Coturnix japonica: one gene and its partners. The protein of the gene in region 2 interacts with the protein of the main gene of each other region in a pairwise test. Links are inferred from orthologs where the notes say so. Each region holds a gene or a part of one and is shown on either strand. Other genes may lie near its edges.

Region 1 (4,547 bases), on a different chromosome or scaffold from region 2:
TGAACTTGAAGCTAAGGAAAGGAAATATTCTTCAGAATAGTGATACAAACCTTTCCAAAAGTGCCATCTTTTCTAAGCAAGTTCTGATGGATAAAATGGGAATTAGCTTAGTCATTTCAGTAGCAACTGTTCAACTGTTTGGCCCTAAAAATTTAGATGTAATTATTGAATTTCATTAAAAATATTTTATTGTTTTGTAGAAGCAAACCTGGAGTAGTCAATTCCAGATAAGCGATAAGAAACAAAACCAGGAAGAGATTGTTAAATATGGCCAGACTGAAAGAGAAATGGATGGGTTAATTGTTGAAAAGCTAAGGGCAGCAGTGAATGAAATGACAATAAGCAGGAATAGACTAGAAGAGGAAAATCTGAAACTCCATGAGGATCTAAAAATGTTCCAAAACCAGTTCCAGGTAATGATATATTTCGTTTTCCATGAATGCTGTGGAATAAATTTTGGAGCATTAATTTAATACGACTATACTTTAAAAAGTAGTTCTAAGATGCCTATATACAAGATCTGTGCAGTTACTGTGTGGATATTCTTTGCAGAAGCATGGAATGAGCTGTGAACAGTCAAATTTTTGAGTAAGACTTGAAAAACATTTTATATTCAGTAGTTATATCTTTTTCTGTCTATTTACCTAGATTTTTATAACTTTCCTCTTCCTGTAGCACCACAGAGTGAGTTATCTTAATTCACTTGGCTCCTTGTATAAAAACTATTTGTATTGAATGTCTTTATCTGCTTTACATCTTGTTGCATGAAGTGCCCTTTACATACTAAATAAGTAGATATAAAAGTGTGTGGTATGGTTTATTGTTCTATGAATATTCTTCAGTGCAATGAATGTCTAGGCTGGCAGCATTGACGCAAAAGATTTTATCCTATCTCTAGCTTACCATTTTTCAACTGCTTTATGAAAACAGCTGTTGGGGCCTCTTCCTTTGTTCATAATCTATGGATTCTTACAAGACTGAGATATCATAGAATCACAGAATGTCTTGATTTGGAAGGGACTCCAGAGATCATCGAGTTCCAACCCCCTGCCACATGCAGGGTTGACAACAACTAGATCAAGTACTGGATCAGATTGCCCAGGGCCAGCCTGTCCATAAACACCTCCAAGGATGGAGCATTCATAACCTTTCTGGGAAACCTGTTCCAGCTCCTCAGCACTCTCTCAGTAAAAATTTTCCTCCTGACATCTAACCTAAATCTCCCCTCCTTTAGTTTAAAACCATTCCACCTCATCCTGTCACAATCTGTTCTTGTAAAAAGCTGTTTTCCCTGATGATTATAAACTCCCTTCAAATACAGCAAGGCCGCAATGAGTCATCCCACAGCCTTCTCTTTTCCAGGCTGAACAAGGCCAGTTCATTCAGCCTATCCTTGTAGGGGAGGTGCTCCAGTCCTTGGAATATCTTTGTAGCCCTCCTCTAGACCCTCTCCAAAAGTTCCATATCTTTCCTGTTTTTGGGGCTCCAGACTCAGATGCAGTACTCCAGCTGGGGCCTCACAAGGGCAAGAGTAGAGGGGGACAGTCACTTCCCTTGCCCTGCTAGCCATTCGTCTTCTGATGGAACACAGGATATCACTGACTTTATAGGATACAGGTGCACACTGCTCTTTCAGGTTGTTTTTCCTCAACCAGGACCCCCAAGTCCTTCTCAGTAGGCCTGCTCTCAAGGAGCTTTTCTCACAGTTTGTGTACTGTAATCTAATCTGGGATTACTTGAACCCAGGTGCAAAACATTTGCTTTGTTGAACCTCACTAGGTTCACAAAGTCCCAATTTCTTGAGATTATTTTAGTCCCTCTCAGTGGCATCCCTTCCTTCTGCTATATGAACTGCATCACTCAGCTTGGTGTGACCAGCAAACTTGCTGAGGGTGCACTACATCCCATCATCTGCATCAGTGATAAATATGTTAAAGAGTACCAGACTCAAGACAGTCCTTTGGGGAACGCTTCTCATTACTACCCTCTACCTGGACGGAGAGCCATTGAACACCACCCTTTGGCTGCGACCTTCCAAACAGCTCCCTGTCCACCAAATAGTCTGCCCTTCAAATCCGTATCTCTCCAATTTAGAGAGAAGGATGTAGTGGGAGACCATGTCAAAGGCCTTGCAGAAGTCCAGGTAGATGACGTTGGTCACCATCCCTTTGTTCATCATTGCCATCACTCCACCATAGAAGATTGCAGATTGATCTGGGATGACCTTCCCTTGGTGCAATCATGTTGGCTGTCTCAGGTCACCTGCTTGTCCCTTGTGTGCCTTAACATGTCTTCCAGGAGAATTTGTTCATGGTCTTCCCAGGCTTCCCAGAGGTGAAGTTCACCAGCCTGTAGTTCCTCAGGTCCTCCTTCCTGCCTTCCTTGTAAATGGGAGTGATATTTCTCTTTTTCCAGTTCCCAGGGACTTTATCTGACCGCTATGGTTCTTCAAATATAATGGAGAGCTTCACAGCAACCACATCAGCCAGCTCTCTCGGGACCCTGGGATGCATGTTGTCTGGCTCTATGAACTTATACATGTTCAGTCTCATGAGCTGGTCTTGGACTTGCTCCACCAGTGCAGTGCAGGGGAGTTTGCTTCTTCAGTGGGGAGTTTTCTGCCTCATATCTTCAGCTTTTTTATTAGCAAAGACTGAAACAGATCAAGAATAAGATTTTCATTTCCTTTTTTCTCCAGTAAGATGATTTTGCTTATTAATTTAAGCACTTCAATATTCAGGAATATATTGACTGGCCTGTAGTGACTTAATCTGGAGAAAGATCACCTATTTTTCTTAACTTCATTTAACTTTAGTTACAATGTACTTCACGGTAATTAAGGTATATGGTGGAGATTTATTTCAGGTATTGCCAGGACAACCAAATCCTGTGTATGTGATGTTTATACATTTGATTTGCACATTAGTTCCCTAAGTCACTAGACTGCATGCAGGTTTATCAGTCTGCAAGCGAAAAGACCTGCTTTTGGGGATGTGAAAAGGTTGCCACAAATAGTAGTTGGATTAGAATATATTTGGAACAGGGGGAGTAAGTGTTGTAGAACGCAGGGAGAGTAGATGGCAGCATGCTGTAGCCTTGTCTAAGAAAATCTTCAAGCTAGAGGAAGTATTTTTGGGGGATATCCATATGAGAAAGCAGGAAGTGCAGGGTCTGTCATCAGCCAGAAGGAGTAGGCAGGTGAGCATATGAGTGCTGTATGGAGCACTAGGTTAGTTGGACGTGGGTTGGGTGAAGGGAGGAGCAGGAGATGGGAGTCTTGCTGGGGACAAGTTTGATTTCCATGGCAATTAGCATGGTATTACGTCACACACATCTTGTACGCCGTGACTACTTTGTGTATGCTTCCACCTGTTTCTGTCATACTACTGGTTAGAAAGAAAAGCGAACTGTATGGAAGGTGGATTTGTTGGCTGTGAAGCAAATATGAATTTAAGAAGATCCAAACTGAGACCCAAGAGTATTTCTCAATCTCATGAACTGTTTGGCAAACTTAGTTGCAAACATACACGAGATGCATGAAACCATTGACCTGAAGTTCTTTTTCAAGCATAATTGCTGCTACTGCTGTGGCTGCTGTTACTCCTGGCATTACTACATTCCACAGAAGGAAATATAATTTCTGTAAACGTGCATGGTGAGTGCAGTGCGCCACAGGTGATCTGACTTCCACCACAAAACTGTGAAGTGTTCCCCTTTTCCACTGCATAATCAAATCAGAGGTGTACACACACACACCTCAAATTAACATATTATGTTCTAGTTGTGGCTATCTCTTGAATGTTGAAGTCATTAAGATGATTGTAAGTAAGTTCTGCTGACAATTTTAAAAATTCATTAAACTTTAGTTCACTAGAATATGCCCAGACTTGCATTTCCAAGTTCAAAAAGCTCTTTCAGGCTTAATTTAACACAGGATTTGATGAATGAATCTGTATATACAGACCCCATAAAAAAAACCAAAAGTGCTTCATGTCTGTTTTTGGCAGTTCTTTCAGCCAGAGGAAAACCCCAGGCTTCTTGGAAGGAAGGTCATTCTAATGTGAGGCTCTAAGGGAAATAAACCTTTGAAGTTCCTTGCTTGCAGTGTCATTTTTTTATTCCATTTTTAAAGTAGTCTTTTGAAAGTTTAGAAGTCTCATTTTTGCTTTTAAATATGGAACCTATATTATATTAAAAAGAAGAAATTATGAAAAAATCCTAGTTTTTGATGTAACTATTTTAAAGGCAAAGGAGCAGCATCCACGGAAAATCCTTTTCTTTTGTCTAGATCTTGAAGGAGAGGAAATCAGAAAGCTATTGTAAGAATCTGATTATTGTTGCTCCTTTTGTTATTTGATATCTTTAATGTGATTTTAGCGTATCTTATGGTAATGGCAATAGGAATTCAGATTTTATGATCTCAAATATTACACATAGCATGAGGCCACATTATCAGCCATAAATGACAGGTAAAATAGAGACAAGATTTGTGGACTCCATAAGAAACGTATTTTCATGATTATGTGAAAATTTGGCGGTGCTGATCT
Region 2 (4,547 bases):
GACAGATAAAATGAAATCCACATTCATACAGAAGAGCCCAACATGACCCTCATTCAGCTAGAAACAGAAGAGTTTTTTAATACACTGAAGTTCTTCCTTTCTTCCAACCAAACTGAACCTCAAGATTTGATTGTATACACAAAATGTTGTCTCTAATAGAGACAGCAGGAAGCGAACTTACTCTGTGACATCTCTCAAAAGCTTGTTTGGTTTCTTGCAAAAGGTTAACCACCACTTCTTGCGAGAGAAAAGTTTCTCCATGGGTGTCAATGCTTGGCCCCAATGGCAAGTTTGTACGTTGCCTTATTCTTTCCTTGAGGTCTTGAATACTAAAACAGAGACACCAAAAGGTTTTGCTGGGTGGAAATTCTGAAGATCACATTCAACAATATCTTACAATATTTCGGTTGTTAACTTACAAAAACAGAACCCAAGACACAGTTTAGGATATGCAAGCGTTAAGACAGTTAAGACAGCTTAAAAAAAAATTGCTAGTAAATGCAAAACAACCACCTCTGATCCCACATTCAGCTGTGTCCTACCATGGCACATTCATACCATGGGAACACCTGTTCCCCCTCTGGGGCGTGTGCTCTGTGGACAAAGTTCAGCCTCCATACGTTGTCACATTTTACTTTCAAAACACTGAGGTCTTCCTCTCTCATCCACAGCCACAAATCCTTTCATCCTCATCCCTATCTGTGCAGTCATGACTTATTCAAGCATGCTCCGACACATTTCCATGCATAAAGCAACCCATAGGGACAGTCATTGCAATCAATTTAATTTTCCCCAAGAAAATTAAATTTTTATCTTTGCTTTTATTCATCTCATGACTTTGCTATAGTTGTTGTTGTTTTCTCCAAATCACTCTTCATGCCTGACACACCGAACCCAGTAACTCTGAGAGGTGTAACAGTCTCATCACCTTTTCCTCACACAAGTTTTCTTTCTTCCTTTCCCACGTCTCCCTACTCCTTTATAGTGTCTCTACCCTGAGGATAATGAAGTCTTGTTTTACCTTTCTCTAAGTCCATTGCATCTTCTGGGCTCACTAAGAGCTTTTTCACTGACATTGCTATGGTCTTTTCCCCTTCCTAGGTCTTGGGAGGGGACCACAAGACCTGGGCAGGTGAAAAAAAATGTATGCTTTTAGATACACACATATACATGCGTTCGGTACCTTAATTTTGCTTCAGTCCTTTTGTGGGTCTGGATCCTAAGTTGAAACATAAGTTTAACTGGTATTTTTCATTTTCCATGAGTATATAAGCACCATGCATCACCCTTCACATGTAAGATTTCAGAGAAAGTTAACAGGAAATGATAGCAAATTATAAAAAGCTGTAGGTCACTTTAGAAGTCTGCTCTTTTGCAGTCCATCACTGTACATTTGGCACGAAAAACACAACATTTCTCCCTTTACCACCTCCCTTCCACTTCAGAAGTAGGAAACTTCATAGGAGAAACTTACCCTCCAGTGCCAATAGACCTCTTCTGGTGGTTTTTGGAATCATAATAACGTTGCAGAATCATCGCGCTCCTACTTTTCAAATAGCCAATTTCCACCTCAATGTAATTCTCCAAGTAGGAAATGAAAATGGATTTGATAAGCTTAGACAAGAAAGTCTGCTTATCGGTACCCAAGTTAAATTCCATCAATTTGCTTGAAAGATTAGTAGTTCTTTATGCAAAACAAAGAAGGGGAGAGGAGGAAAAGGTTGTATTTGTATGAATTACAGCATTATATGCTTGTAAAAGTACATGGTACAACAGAATCCAGATCATGATTAGAACTTCTAGCAGCTTTATACTTAAGTAAAGAACTTTGCATAATTCATGTTTGATTACATATGGCACAATTGCCATCAAGGGAAGGACTGGCTTTCACCCAGTTTAAAAATCACACTCAAAGATCACAATGTTAAATACCTCCCATTCAAAACGATAACAGCTATTTAAAGTTTCTAAAGAAATTTAATCATTGGAAAGTTTGACAGACATTAAATTTTTCCCATTTTTACGAGGAGTTTACTTTTTTGTCTGATATTCCGACATCTTGATGATGATTAATCAATTCATTCCAAGAGGATAACTACAACAATAATTTTATCATCTACATGCATATACCTTGTATACAGATCGTAAAGATTCTTAAGATACTGTTCTGCATCCGATTTCCTGTGTTCTTCCAGTTGGTCCTTCACATAACTCTGTAAAATTTAGGTATATCTGTTAGAAGAATAGATATCAAACCTCAGGTCATCCTCACTTGTTAGATTATACATATAATTTACTTCAAAGCACACACCTTAACCCAAAGGCTGTATGGATTGCTTAAGTCTCTGATACAACAGAATTTCTGTCTTCTACAGATAAATACATTGTTTTGAAGGAAATGATTTATTAATACAAAGTAGCAGCAGGTAAAGCAAACAGCAAAGAGGGATTGCTTTGAAAACATGCTAGTCCAAACACAAGATCCCCACTCTTAAAGAATCAAAACCACTAGAGGCCTAAGGGTAGGTCTACAGTTGACAGCAAGAGAAAGAGGTACTTATATATTTGCTAACTACAATACATACATAATGCAGATACAAGCTTAGAGTCTTCCTGTAATCAACTATTTGGCCAAAAAATATTATTTACCATAAAATACTAAGTCAAAACTGATGGTCAAATTGGGGAATGAAATACAAACTCAGTCTCCCTGCTCCATATTATCAATAATAAGGAAAACAACACTGACTGGGAAATTGCACTTTGCAATGAATAGGCATACTGCTGACTTCACATACTTAAGGGAGTATATTTTCAGGATGGGTAATGGGGTTTTCAACTAATGTTTCTAAATGTTCATATAAATATTCCAAGCATCGGCTATTACACCTTTATTCATTACTAACCTCACACATGAAACCCAATTCCAACTACGAACAGGTTAAAGATGTTTATTAAATGTGAAACTCCTTTTCCTGACATATTCTGGGTAGGTGGCATAAAGAAGAAACCAAAAGCGTATGACATCTCATGAACTAGCTAATGAACGTACTGATTCCCTTTTAATTTTACATACTGAATTTGAATGTTTTCATTCTTGCTGTATTCACAGTACAAGTAGTTTCATTTGAAGTGGGTCTGATTATCTGTATGAAACGCTATACGGCAATCAACTGTAATTCTACCTCTTTATACAGGATTATGAATCCTGTAAATTCTGAGCAACTGTTACTTCAAGCACATATGGATGAAAAGCTTCCTTGATCACTATAGTATACTAATATTTGAAGTACCTGAAGTTTAACTTCAAAGATGTTTTGGATGAGTTTGGCTAGCACAGTCTCCGGATTGCTGAAGACTTCTCCAACTTGCTTATTCACTCGCTGGCAGAGAATGGCTGCATCTTCAAACACATCATTCCTCAGAAACGCACCCTAGGGTTGTGGAAACAATTTCACAGCATATTTACAACTACTTATAGAATAAGGAAATCAACACCCAAAGAGATGCGTGTAAAACATAAAACGCATTACCTCTTGACACTGTTTTATGTACACATCAACACAATGGGAATAGCCCTGTGGAAGGAGGAAAAAAAATAGTCTTAAAACCAGGCTCTCCGTGACTTTTATACAGAACGAAATTAAGGAGATAAAACTCCTGCAAAGAAATTAACACAAGAAATACATTTATCTGAAGCACAGGCTTTTTCCAGTCCATTCTTGTCACAAATCTAGCAGAACTTCACTTATCACAGCTCACCGTGGATGCACATGACAGGTATTAATGCTCTTCAAGCACGAATGACAACTCACACAATTCAAGAAAAATTCCCCTCAGAATGTTCTCTATTGACAATGTCTCTGATTCCCCACCATAGAATCACAGAATGGCCTGGGTTGAAAAGGCCCACAATGATCATCCAATTTTAAACCCCTTCTGCTTGCAGGGTCACCAACCACCAGACCAGGCTGCTCAGAGCCACATCCAGCCTGGCCTCAAATGCCTCCAGGGATGGCATTTGCCTCCTTTATTGACCTACATTTGATTTCAGATGGAACATTTCAGTATTTTTAAAAGATATATGGGTAACAACCATTTGCCTGTGCAAATATTTTCACTTAAAGGATGAGCTGGTGGATTTTTGTTGGGTTTGGGTTTTGTTTAGTTTATTTATTCACTAATTTTTACCTTGAAATGGAGCAAGACAGCTGCTACTTCTCTCATTCTGGATATTTCGCCTCTCCGCTGCGCACTGGTAAACTCCTGAATTAGCTGGCACTCTAAGTCATGGTATTTACCTGGAAGGGAACAGAGGAAAAAAGGTTAAAAAAAAATTAGAAGTAATCCATGAAGCTATCTAATACAAGCACTGGCAAAAATGGTAATACTGACAGTACTGCATATTTCTTTAATCAGCTTTTACGATATATGGGAATATGGATTGAACTGGATGGATAACTTACTTGCTATCTTTGATTTTACTTCAGAAAACCTGTTAACATCAAAAAAATACCATGATTAATTTCAAATCCACATCACAAGAG
Region 3 (3,877 bases), on a different chromosome or scaffold from region 2:
CAGCCAAGTGTAACACTGTTTTATAAGCAAAAAAAAACCCAACAAACCAACAACTCTGGGCTTGTCCTGAGGTAAGGTGTGCCTGGCAGTTTCAATTCATGTCAGCTTTGGCTTAAAAGTCATTGAGGAGTTAAATCTTGTGCTGTGTTTCAGGAAGACTTGGGCTAAAATCAGTTTGTTTTAGTTAGAGCTTGTTTCAGCCTCAGATGGGTGTGCACATGTAGTTGATGGTGGTTCCCAAGAGCATGACTTCCCCCAGGTACTTCCCTCAGATGTTTCGAGCTCTAAGCAAGCTCTGTAGGGATAGAGCTCTGTAGGGAGCGCTCAGTTCCTGACCTCACAAAGGAGCTGCCATGCAGTGCTCCTGGTTGGCTCTGTTGGTTGGAGAGCCTGACAGAATGCAAATGATCCGATCTCCTGCTGCAAAATATTCCAGCTGGCACCTGTTCTAACAGACCTTCCTAACAACAGGAGTTTGACCAGCAATAGCTCCGCTGTCTTTTGGCCTTTCAGAATTGTTCTGGACACGTAGCTCAGTGCTGTAGTTTATTTCTGATGTTCAGTGTTCTGATACAGAGCGGTGTTCAGGGCTGCTCCTAATGGATGTAACAGCTGGAGACAGGTACCATATCAGAAACTGTCCTGCAGATGGGCTGTTAGGGGCTGTTATGCCTCATGGTGTGTCTGCTTTTAAATACTACCAGTTCTGTTGCTTGAGACAAGCAGTGAGGACATCCAGCCAACTGCCTGTACATCCTGTGTTTCTGTGCTGAAGTGTAACCTAATTAACTCCTGCTGCTCTTCTTGTAGTGGAGAGAATGTTGAGGATGCTTTCCTGGAGGCTGCCAAGAAAATCTACCAGAACATCCAAGATGGAAGCCTGGATCTGAACGCTGCAGAGTCGGGTGTACAGCACAAACCATCAGCTCCGCAGGGGGGGCGGCTAACCAGCGAACCCCAGCCCCAGAGAGAAGGCTGCGGCTGCTAGTGACCCCTTCCATGGCTTCATTTCTGACCTTTCACCTCTGTCTGTTGGGAGCAGTGCTTTTGATTGCTTCCCTGTCTTCTGTACATCTTATTGGGTTTAATTAAAACTGAAACAAGTTTAACACAGTACTAAACTGCTAAACAACTTTAGATGTAATCAGGTTATCCAAGGCAAGTAGAGTAATAAAACCTCTCCTGCATGGTGAATCTAGAATTTTTTTTTTTTTCCTTGATTGTCCTTGTGATAGTGTCACAGATACATAATTTAAACTGAGCACTGATGCTGGACTCATGATTTTACACTTTTGCAGGGCTTTGTCTTGTACGGTTTAATTTGATGGTTCTTCAGCCTTTCTTCCCCACCTCTTAACTGTGTAGAGCTGTCCATAGGAAAGGATAAGTTTTTGGGTTCTTTTTTTCTCTTTTTGCTGTGAAATGACTTCTGATGGTAGAGAGGGGCTCCGTACCAATGTGCTTTGTTGAAAGGATTCCCCATGGTTGTGCATGTTGGGGGCAGGGGGGCTGGTGCAGGAGGGTACAACTTGCACAGGGAAACGAACCATTCCTTCTTGTGCTCATAGCTTTACATCATTTTTTGCCACTTTTATCCATTTGCTAACAGAACGTAAATATGTATAAAATTTGAAGGAACTGAGCTAACAGTTAAATACATCCTGTGTATATGATTTTAATGAAGAAAATGATTACTGGCATTAGAACAGTATATAAGAAAATATCAGTTTGTACAGTATGACCTGTATGTGACCACACCGCCCATCAGTACAGACGTAGGTGTAACTGCAGTTCACTAACAGCAGCTTAACTCCTTGGTGTTGACAGTGGACATTGTGCTGGGGGAACTCGAATCCCAGTGCCGAAATTAACACTAGTGGAATCTGTCCTTCATCTTTGCACTGTGGTATCTCTATGCCATGTTATTAATCCTGTTCTGTGCAATCAGCAGTGTGCTAACCTGCTTTTTTCTTCTGTAAGCATTTCACATTACTGGGCTTCGTTACCTGCCTTGCTCTGTATACCAAGGCTGGTTCTCTTGCACATCTTATGCTTTTATACCTTTAACCTTTTGAATGGTCAGATACTGAACTGGACAGTCGGAACAACTTGTGTTCCCTGGGGAGTCGTAGCTACTGTTGTATTTTAACACTACAGCTGAGGGCTTCTAGGGCAGGTTTGTTCTTGAAGGGTGCCACCTTCCTGAGAGGGCACACGTACTGCTTCTGTAAAGGGGAGACAGTAAACCCACAGTATACAGCCTACGTGTGGGGTTTATTGTGGTGTCAGGACTAGGATGTGTCACTGTATGCAGAACTGTATGTCACTTATAGCTTCATTTATGAATACACTGAATACAGTTTCCAAAAGGAAAGGGTAAGTGTTTAACCACACTCAGCTGTCCGACTTCTAATCTTACTGCAGTGCTTAAGATACAAAGTAGTCTGAAATTCCTTCTCCAGACACTAAAACTATGAACTGTTCAGATGTGTAAGTCAACAGTGGTACCAGAGTATTGTACAGTCAATGTTAAATAAAAGCCAAAAAAAAAAAAACTGGAATGTGCAGACAATAGGATTTGGGTAACTTGTTTGTGCGCTGTCCCTTTGTTCTGTCTGGTTAGTTTTTTTTAACTAGTATTCTTTAGTAGATGGGTATGTTTGAGCTCTACAGCTGATGTGTCCTGCTTAAACCAAGGTTGTACCACAGCGGGGTTTGCCCAGGGACCAGGACCTGCTGCTGCCATGAAGTTTGGAAGTAAATGTTCTAATGACTACAGCTTGTTGAGGTGCAATACCTGTATTCCCAGAGTAAGTTACAGTAGGCCTTATTGTTTCTGTCACAGAAAGGATTTGTTTGGACTGCTGTACTCCTCATTTGATGTAACAATGCTATTAATCTAAATATTTGTAAATAAAGTACCTGTATCTAGATAACCTGCAGTGCCTTGTGTTTCTTGCTCTACTTGTGCTGTGACTTCTCTGCTTCTGTGACTTACAGCTGCAGCTCTTCACTCCCACCTTTCTAGGCTATCTTCCACCTACTGCATTGCACTGCCTTGCAAATGCTGCTTTGTAGGCACTTCTGCTTGCCTGCAGTCAGGCTTTGAGTGCTGGGAAAAGCTGTAGAAGAGAGAAGCTTAGAAGGGAATCTTGCATGTGGTGGCAGTTGAGCTTTAACTGATTGTGTTAACTTCTGAAAAGGGCCCTAGGGTAAAAAAATGTGACAGGCTGCTGTTGCTTTTCCACTGCCCTGAAGCCTTCCTAAGGCTGTAACAGGCTGCATGAAGTGGGGAGCATGAACATTGCTGTCTGTCAGTGGTGGTGATGATAATGTAGATGAGAGGGCAAGGCTGGGGACTGTTCTGAAACCTGCCTCCAGCAAAAGCAGCTCTAGAAAGTCCTTGTGTCCCACCTGGCAGGAGGGGTAAGGATGTACTTAGAGACAAGCCTGCTTTGCATGGTGGAAGAATGTCCCCTTTCCTTCTGCCTTCCTGCTGCTCTTCATTTACCGAGCACTGCTTTGTTTGCAATCTTGTTGCAAAGGCCATACTCGCATGTATCAGAAATAATGATACAGGTTGGGCTTCAGAGACAGTGCAGCAATGCTTACCAACAGCAACCAGTAATTGCTATGGTGTGGATATCAGTGTAACAAATGGTACTGTACACAAAGAGTTGTTGCCACTATTAAGATGGCACTGTTAAAGAGCTAGCAGTGCAAGGCCATTACAGGATGCATATTAAAAACAAAGTAAGGATGAAGTTGTGGTCACAACTTTAAGAAAGTATTCAAAAATAGTTTTATTTAACATCTGTGCATTTAAAAACGTGACAACTCTTGAAAATGTAAACTGAGAAATAGCCACACTTCAATG
Region 4 (4,547 bases), on a different chromosome or scaffold from region 2:
ATCAAGGTTAAACAAGTTGGAGCAAGAGCAGGACTGGGAATTACTGCAGTAAAATTTCCCGTCGCCAAAGGCTGTTTTCAGAAGATGAGAGCTGCTCTGTCTTCCTGAATATAAACTCTCTCACACTGTGGAATCCATTACACAAAACAAGGTGCTAAGTCTTAACAGACATTGTGTTTGTGCTGAAAGCAGTTATCAGATCTCTGATTTAGCCTAAAGGAGAATGAAAGAAAATGCTAAAATGTTTGCTTGCCTGTGTAAACACAATCCTCAGTATGATATAGTAAGTGACAACTCTGGAGTCACTGGTTATTTCTATAGTTCCTATTTGCTTACCATTTCAGGCTGATAGCCTTAACCTCAGCACATGTGAATTGCTGTGGTTTCAGAAACTTATAACTAATCCCCTTCTAGTCAGGAATGATATAGATCATATCAGTGAAGATTTCCTGTGAGGTCAACTTTTGTTTTGTTTGTTTTCAAAACATTCAGTTTCTCTTCAGTTCACCCACGTGTTTCACTTCTAACTGAGAAACACTGTTTATAACTCAATCATTGCTGCTGATTTAGAACCTACTGTGTTTGTAGGCAGTCTTAGTGATTCACTTAGGAGAAGAACCTTAGCCAGACAGTGATGCTTCATGAGTGATGCTGTTAAGACTTGGAAGAGAGCCATGAGCCAGCATGATGACATGGCTGACGGAAGTAGGGACTTCACCGCAAGGAGCCATGATATGGGTTAGGGTCAGGGCTGGGTATGTGGGGAGTTCAGAGATAGATACAGATTGCAAACCCACCAGCACTTTCGCAGTGATAGGGCAGGTCCATAGGCAAGCAGGGATGCCCTACTGATGCATTCAGGTCTGGGACAAAGCGAATAGAGGCTGAAGATGCGCATAGGTGCGTCTGGGACCTTGCTGTGATCGAGGGGGCTACTGGTATGCCCACAGCTGAAAAGCAGCTCCCAAGGGAAAGCAGGGCCAGGTTCTGGCTTCCAGTGCTCTTCACAAGAGCTCTTAGTGGAGAAGAACTGACATAGGACACAGCCATCCCACTTCATGTCTTCAACAAGACTTCAGGGGTTCACTACGAGTCCTGATAGAAGGAGCATCAACATGTGCCTTCTTACAGAGAAGGGGAGGTAGGAAGAAGAGAAACTCGTGTTTGAGAGTGAAGCATTTGTGATCTGATTATCCTTCTGTGTTGAACATATTACAAAACAACATGGCTTAAATTGGGGATATATTTCACAACATTTTTTTCCTATCTAAACAAGAGCTGATGATCCTGGATTTTCTAGCTGATTGATTGCCAATTGCCAATTACCTCAAATTAATGAATACAATTGTAAATACTAGCCTGAACATGTCAGAAACAAAAACATATTTTGCAGAGCTTCTAGCTTAGCATTTGCAGTAATATTACTGAAGTGGTATTAATTGGCTGTCAATTAATGCTAGTCAAAACAAGATCACAAACGTCTGCCTAACCTGAAATTGCTTACCTAAATTGTACATGTAAGGCCTAATCTTTCAAGATAAACTGAAGTCAGTAGGACACCAAATCTGACCAATATAAGTTTACCATCACTTTTCAGACTGTGCCAAATGTAGAAAGGAAAGAATCAGATGCATCTGCCTGATGGGGTCCATGAGACTGCATCCAGCTGTCTTTCCAAGTCATTGCTGTTGGTGAGTTGTGTTTGGAGGGGGCCATGGTTCTGTAGATACCAGCTTTTAGGCACATCTTGAGCCACACTCAAAGCTTTCAAATATAGTCTTACAGTGAATTGCTTTAGAGATGATGAAACATAATATTTGAGTACCATATCCATAAGTCTGATCAGATATCTCACCAATCAAATCTTGAAAAGTATTAGCCTTAGTAGTGACAGTTACTGCAGTACTGAGAACCACTTTGACTGGGGAGATTTTAACAACAAACACCATGTCATGTATAACAATGAACTACAACTCTGTTATCACACACTGCCTTTGGCCAAGTTTGTTTATGTCTCTGAAAGCTGCAGAAGCTTAGACACCATAGCAAATATATGTTACAGCCAACTGAACAGGAAACAAAATGCTTCTCATTTAGCTCCATATTTTCAAAACAAGTTGTCTTTTCAAAAATAAGAAAGCAGCTTCCTTAGATCTGACAAAGCAATATCCTTCCTGTTCCTTGTCCCCACTAAGTACCTGGCTGACATTATTATGAATCATATAATTACAAGAAGGAATGTTGAAACACATCATCCACCACCTCACTGCTCAGCATTCAGCAAGTGTCGATGAATGTGCCAATTCCACATGTTTGCTTCATCTGTACTTTATCAAAAGAAAAAGCACTGCGTATTTTTCTCTGTTCACAGGACTGTGTCTAGCCAACGTATCAAAATCCATCAACGTATCTGCCAGCACTGTGAGCTGGCACTGCCCTGTGCCTCCATGGGGCTGATAGCACTCCCATGTTTGGTTGGTGCTGAGGGGCCGGGCTGCTGCCATGATGGCATGGGGCAGGGGGAGGCCACAGTGCCAGCTGTGCCGGGCTGCATGCAGCCTGTGGGCTGTGGGTTGGATGTGTCTGGAAAAATGCAAAGTCTCCACTGCAAGTTGGGGAGCCAATTATGCAACATTCAAACCAGATACTAGCATTGAATATCAATTTGTGTTACACCTGGTTGATTTTACAATGCTCTGATTTATTCAGCGCTTTGTACTTTATCAAACAAGCTGTCAGCAGTGCACTGCAAGTACAAGAGAAAGGTGGTTTGTAGTTGTTTATCTTATTATGAACTGTTTGTTGCTGTTACTATGTCACTGCCAGGCAAGGCCATTCACATATCAAGCATCATGCTGGGCACTCCAAGAGCATAATTCTCAGTTCTCTAGCTTCTTCTAAAAACTTCATTTTCCTTATTATTGACTTAAGATGTGCTGATGGGTGAGAAACAGGAAGTGAAAGTGATGCAAATCTGAAGCAAAGCTGCCTGTGTCAATAGCCAGTATTGCAGGTGAAACTAATCAAGAAAAACAAGCAAGTGGCAAATTGTGTTCAGAGAAGGAAGTAGTATGGATGGCTCTGGTGCCCTTTTGTGCTTTATCACTTGCAACAGTAACAAGAGGTCAAGCTTTGTCAGTGTTATCTTCCTCTTGGCAGATGTACAATTCACTTTTCTCCCAACAGGTAAATCACCTCGTTGGTTTGTTTCAGTGTGTTGTATTCATCAAGCCAAAGTGAAAGGATGACCTGCCACACCAAATCCCACACCAGATCACTCACATCCTGGCCAAGCCTTGTGATCACTGAGAAAACTGATTTCTCTGCTTTTAAATTAACTCTATGTTGTTTTGCTGTCAGGTACTGCACCAAGCATGGAGAATGACCAGTTCACCGAGAAGCAGCAGCAGGTTTCCACTTCACCTAGGCAAGACATTCAGGGACAAAGCAAGGAGGAACCTGTCCCCAGCTCACAGCCCCTGCCCCCCACAGACCAAACCAGTGCCCAGACTGAAGCAGCCACATGTGACATCTCAGAGGAGCTGAGCCGGCAACTGGAGGACATTATTAAAACCTATGGGTCTGCAGCAAGTCTGATGGAGAAGGATGGCACTACAGCAGGAACTGACAAGCTGGAGAAGGGAGATGTGGGCAATATGGAGGATGCAGAGTATGAGGATGCAAATGAAGAAAGTGAGAAAGACAAACCAGCCCCTGGAGATGCTTCAAGAGCAAAGGAGCCCAGCACTAGCAAGGAACAAAAGCTGGAGAAGAAAATCCTGAAAGGACTAGGCAAGTGCTTGTGTACTTACATAGCTATTCTGCTAACAGTAGTAAAACCTCCCTGGGCTTCACTTTTTCCTTTTTTAAGTCTTTGCTATGGCTGATAGGGACCACTGAAAACCACGGCAGCTGTCATAACTTTATTTGATAAAAATTGTCAGCAGTTACCTAAAAGATACAGTGGGCTTTATCAGACATTAATCCTTGTACAGGGATGAAAGCTCAGGATTTTATCACATGGCTGGTAGATTAATGGTCCACCCAAACTAGTGGCCAAAGCTGTGAGTTTGAAGAAACACTGAAGAATACTTTTTCTTAGACAAAGGGACACCTGATCTCTTGTTTATGCCCCTGTACATCTATTTTCCTACTCCCTCAGTTATGATTTCTCAATGGTCATAGCTGTGCCAGTGGTGTTACTACATGGAGTGGCCGAGAGGGAAACTGCAAAACAAATTCACTGCTATGATCTCATTATATTTCATTCAGCAGACTCATCACAGACTGCAATAAATCATTAAGTTTGCTCCCCCTAAGCATAGTCATTGGTCCTTTTGGCAACTGCAGGATCCTCTTAGCTGAGCTTAAAATCGTTTCTACTGTACAGCCACTAGAGAGCAATGTAGCTGCATCCCAGTCTAGCAAATGTATAGTTTATTTCCATTTATACATAACTTCCACTGATCCTCATGCCTCTTCTCTGCATGAGAACTCAAACCCAACACTAGACTAATCCTACAGAAGAATCACTGCAGAGTGTGCTT

The links.
Region 1: the proteins of EXOC5 (region 2) and DEUP1 interact in binary tests that used the Homo sapiens proteins (3 or more experiments, as listed by UniProt). The two-hybrid records come from large-scale screens. The link is inferred for Coturnix japonica from reciprocal best matches to the Homo sapiens genes EXOC5 and DEUP1.
Region 3: the proteins of EXOC5 (region 2) and RAB14 interact in binary tests that used the Homo sapiens proteins (3 or more experiments, as listed by UniProt). The two-hybrid records come from large-scale screens. The link is inferred for Coturnix japonica from reciprocal best matches to the Homo sapiens genes EXOC5 and RAB14.
Region 4: the proteins of EXOC5 (region 2) and TXLNB interact in binary tests that used the Homo sapiens proteins (3 or more experiments, as listed by UniProt). The two-hybrid records come from large-scale screens. The link is inferred for Coturnix japonica from reciprocal best matches to the Homo sapiens genes EXOC5 and TXLNB.

The regions. Positions count from the first base shown.
Region 1 is NC_029516.1:166,289,333-166,293,879, reverse strand, and holds part of DEUP1 (deuterosome assembly protein 1), read left to right. Parts: intron 1-200; coding exon 201-413; intron 414-4,547. UniProt on the Homo sapiens protein: Key structural component of the deuterosome, a structure that promotes de novo centriole amplification in multiciliated cells.
Region 2 is NC_029520.1:50,519,068-50,523,614, reverse strand, and holds part of EXOC5 (exocyst complex component 5), read right to left. Parts: intron 4,496-4,547; coding exon 4,467-4,495; intron 4,302-4,466; coding exon 4,192-4,301; intron 3,579-4,191; coding exon 3,534-3,578; intron 3,435-3,533; coding exon 3,294-3,434; intron 2,214-3,293; coding exon 2,131-2,213; intron 1,685-2,130; coding exon 1,475-1,684; intron 1,220-1,474; coding exon 1,184-1,219; intron 330-1,183; coding exon 182-329; intron 1-181. UniProt on the Homo sapiens protein: Component of the exocyst complex involved in the docking of exocytic vesicles with fusion sites on the plasma membrane.
Region 3 is NC_029532.1:6,853,412-6,857,288, reverse strand, and holds the end of RAB14 (ras-related protein Rab-14), read left to right. Parts: intron 1-810; coding exon 811-988; 3' UTR 989-2,936; downstream 2,937-3,877.
Region 4 is NC_029518.1:48,827,625-48,832,171, forward strand, and holds part of TXLNB (beta-taxilin), read left to right. Parts: intron 1-1,597; 5' UTR 1,598-1,691; intron 1,692-3,360; 5' UTR 3,361-3,374; coding exon 3,375-3,792; intron 3,793-4,547. UniProt on the Homo sapiens protein: Promotes motor nerve regeneration. May be involved in intracellular vesicle traffic.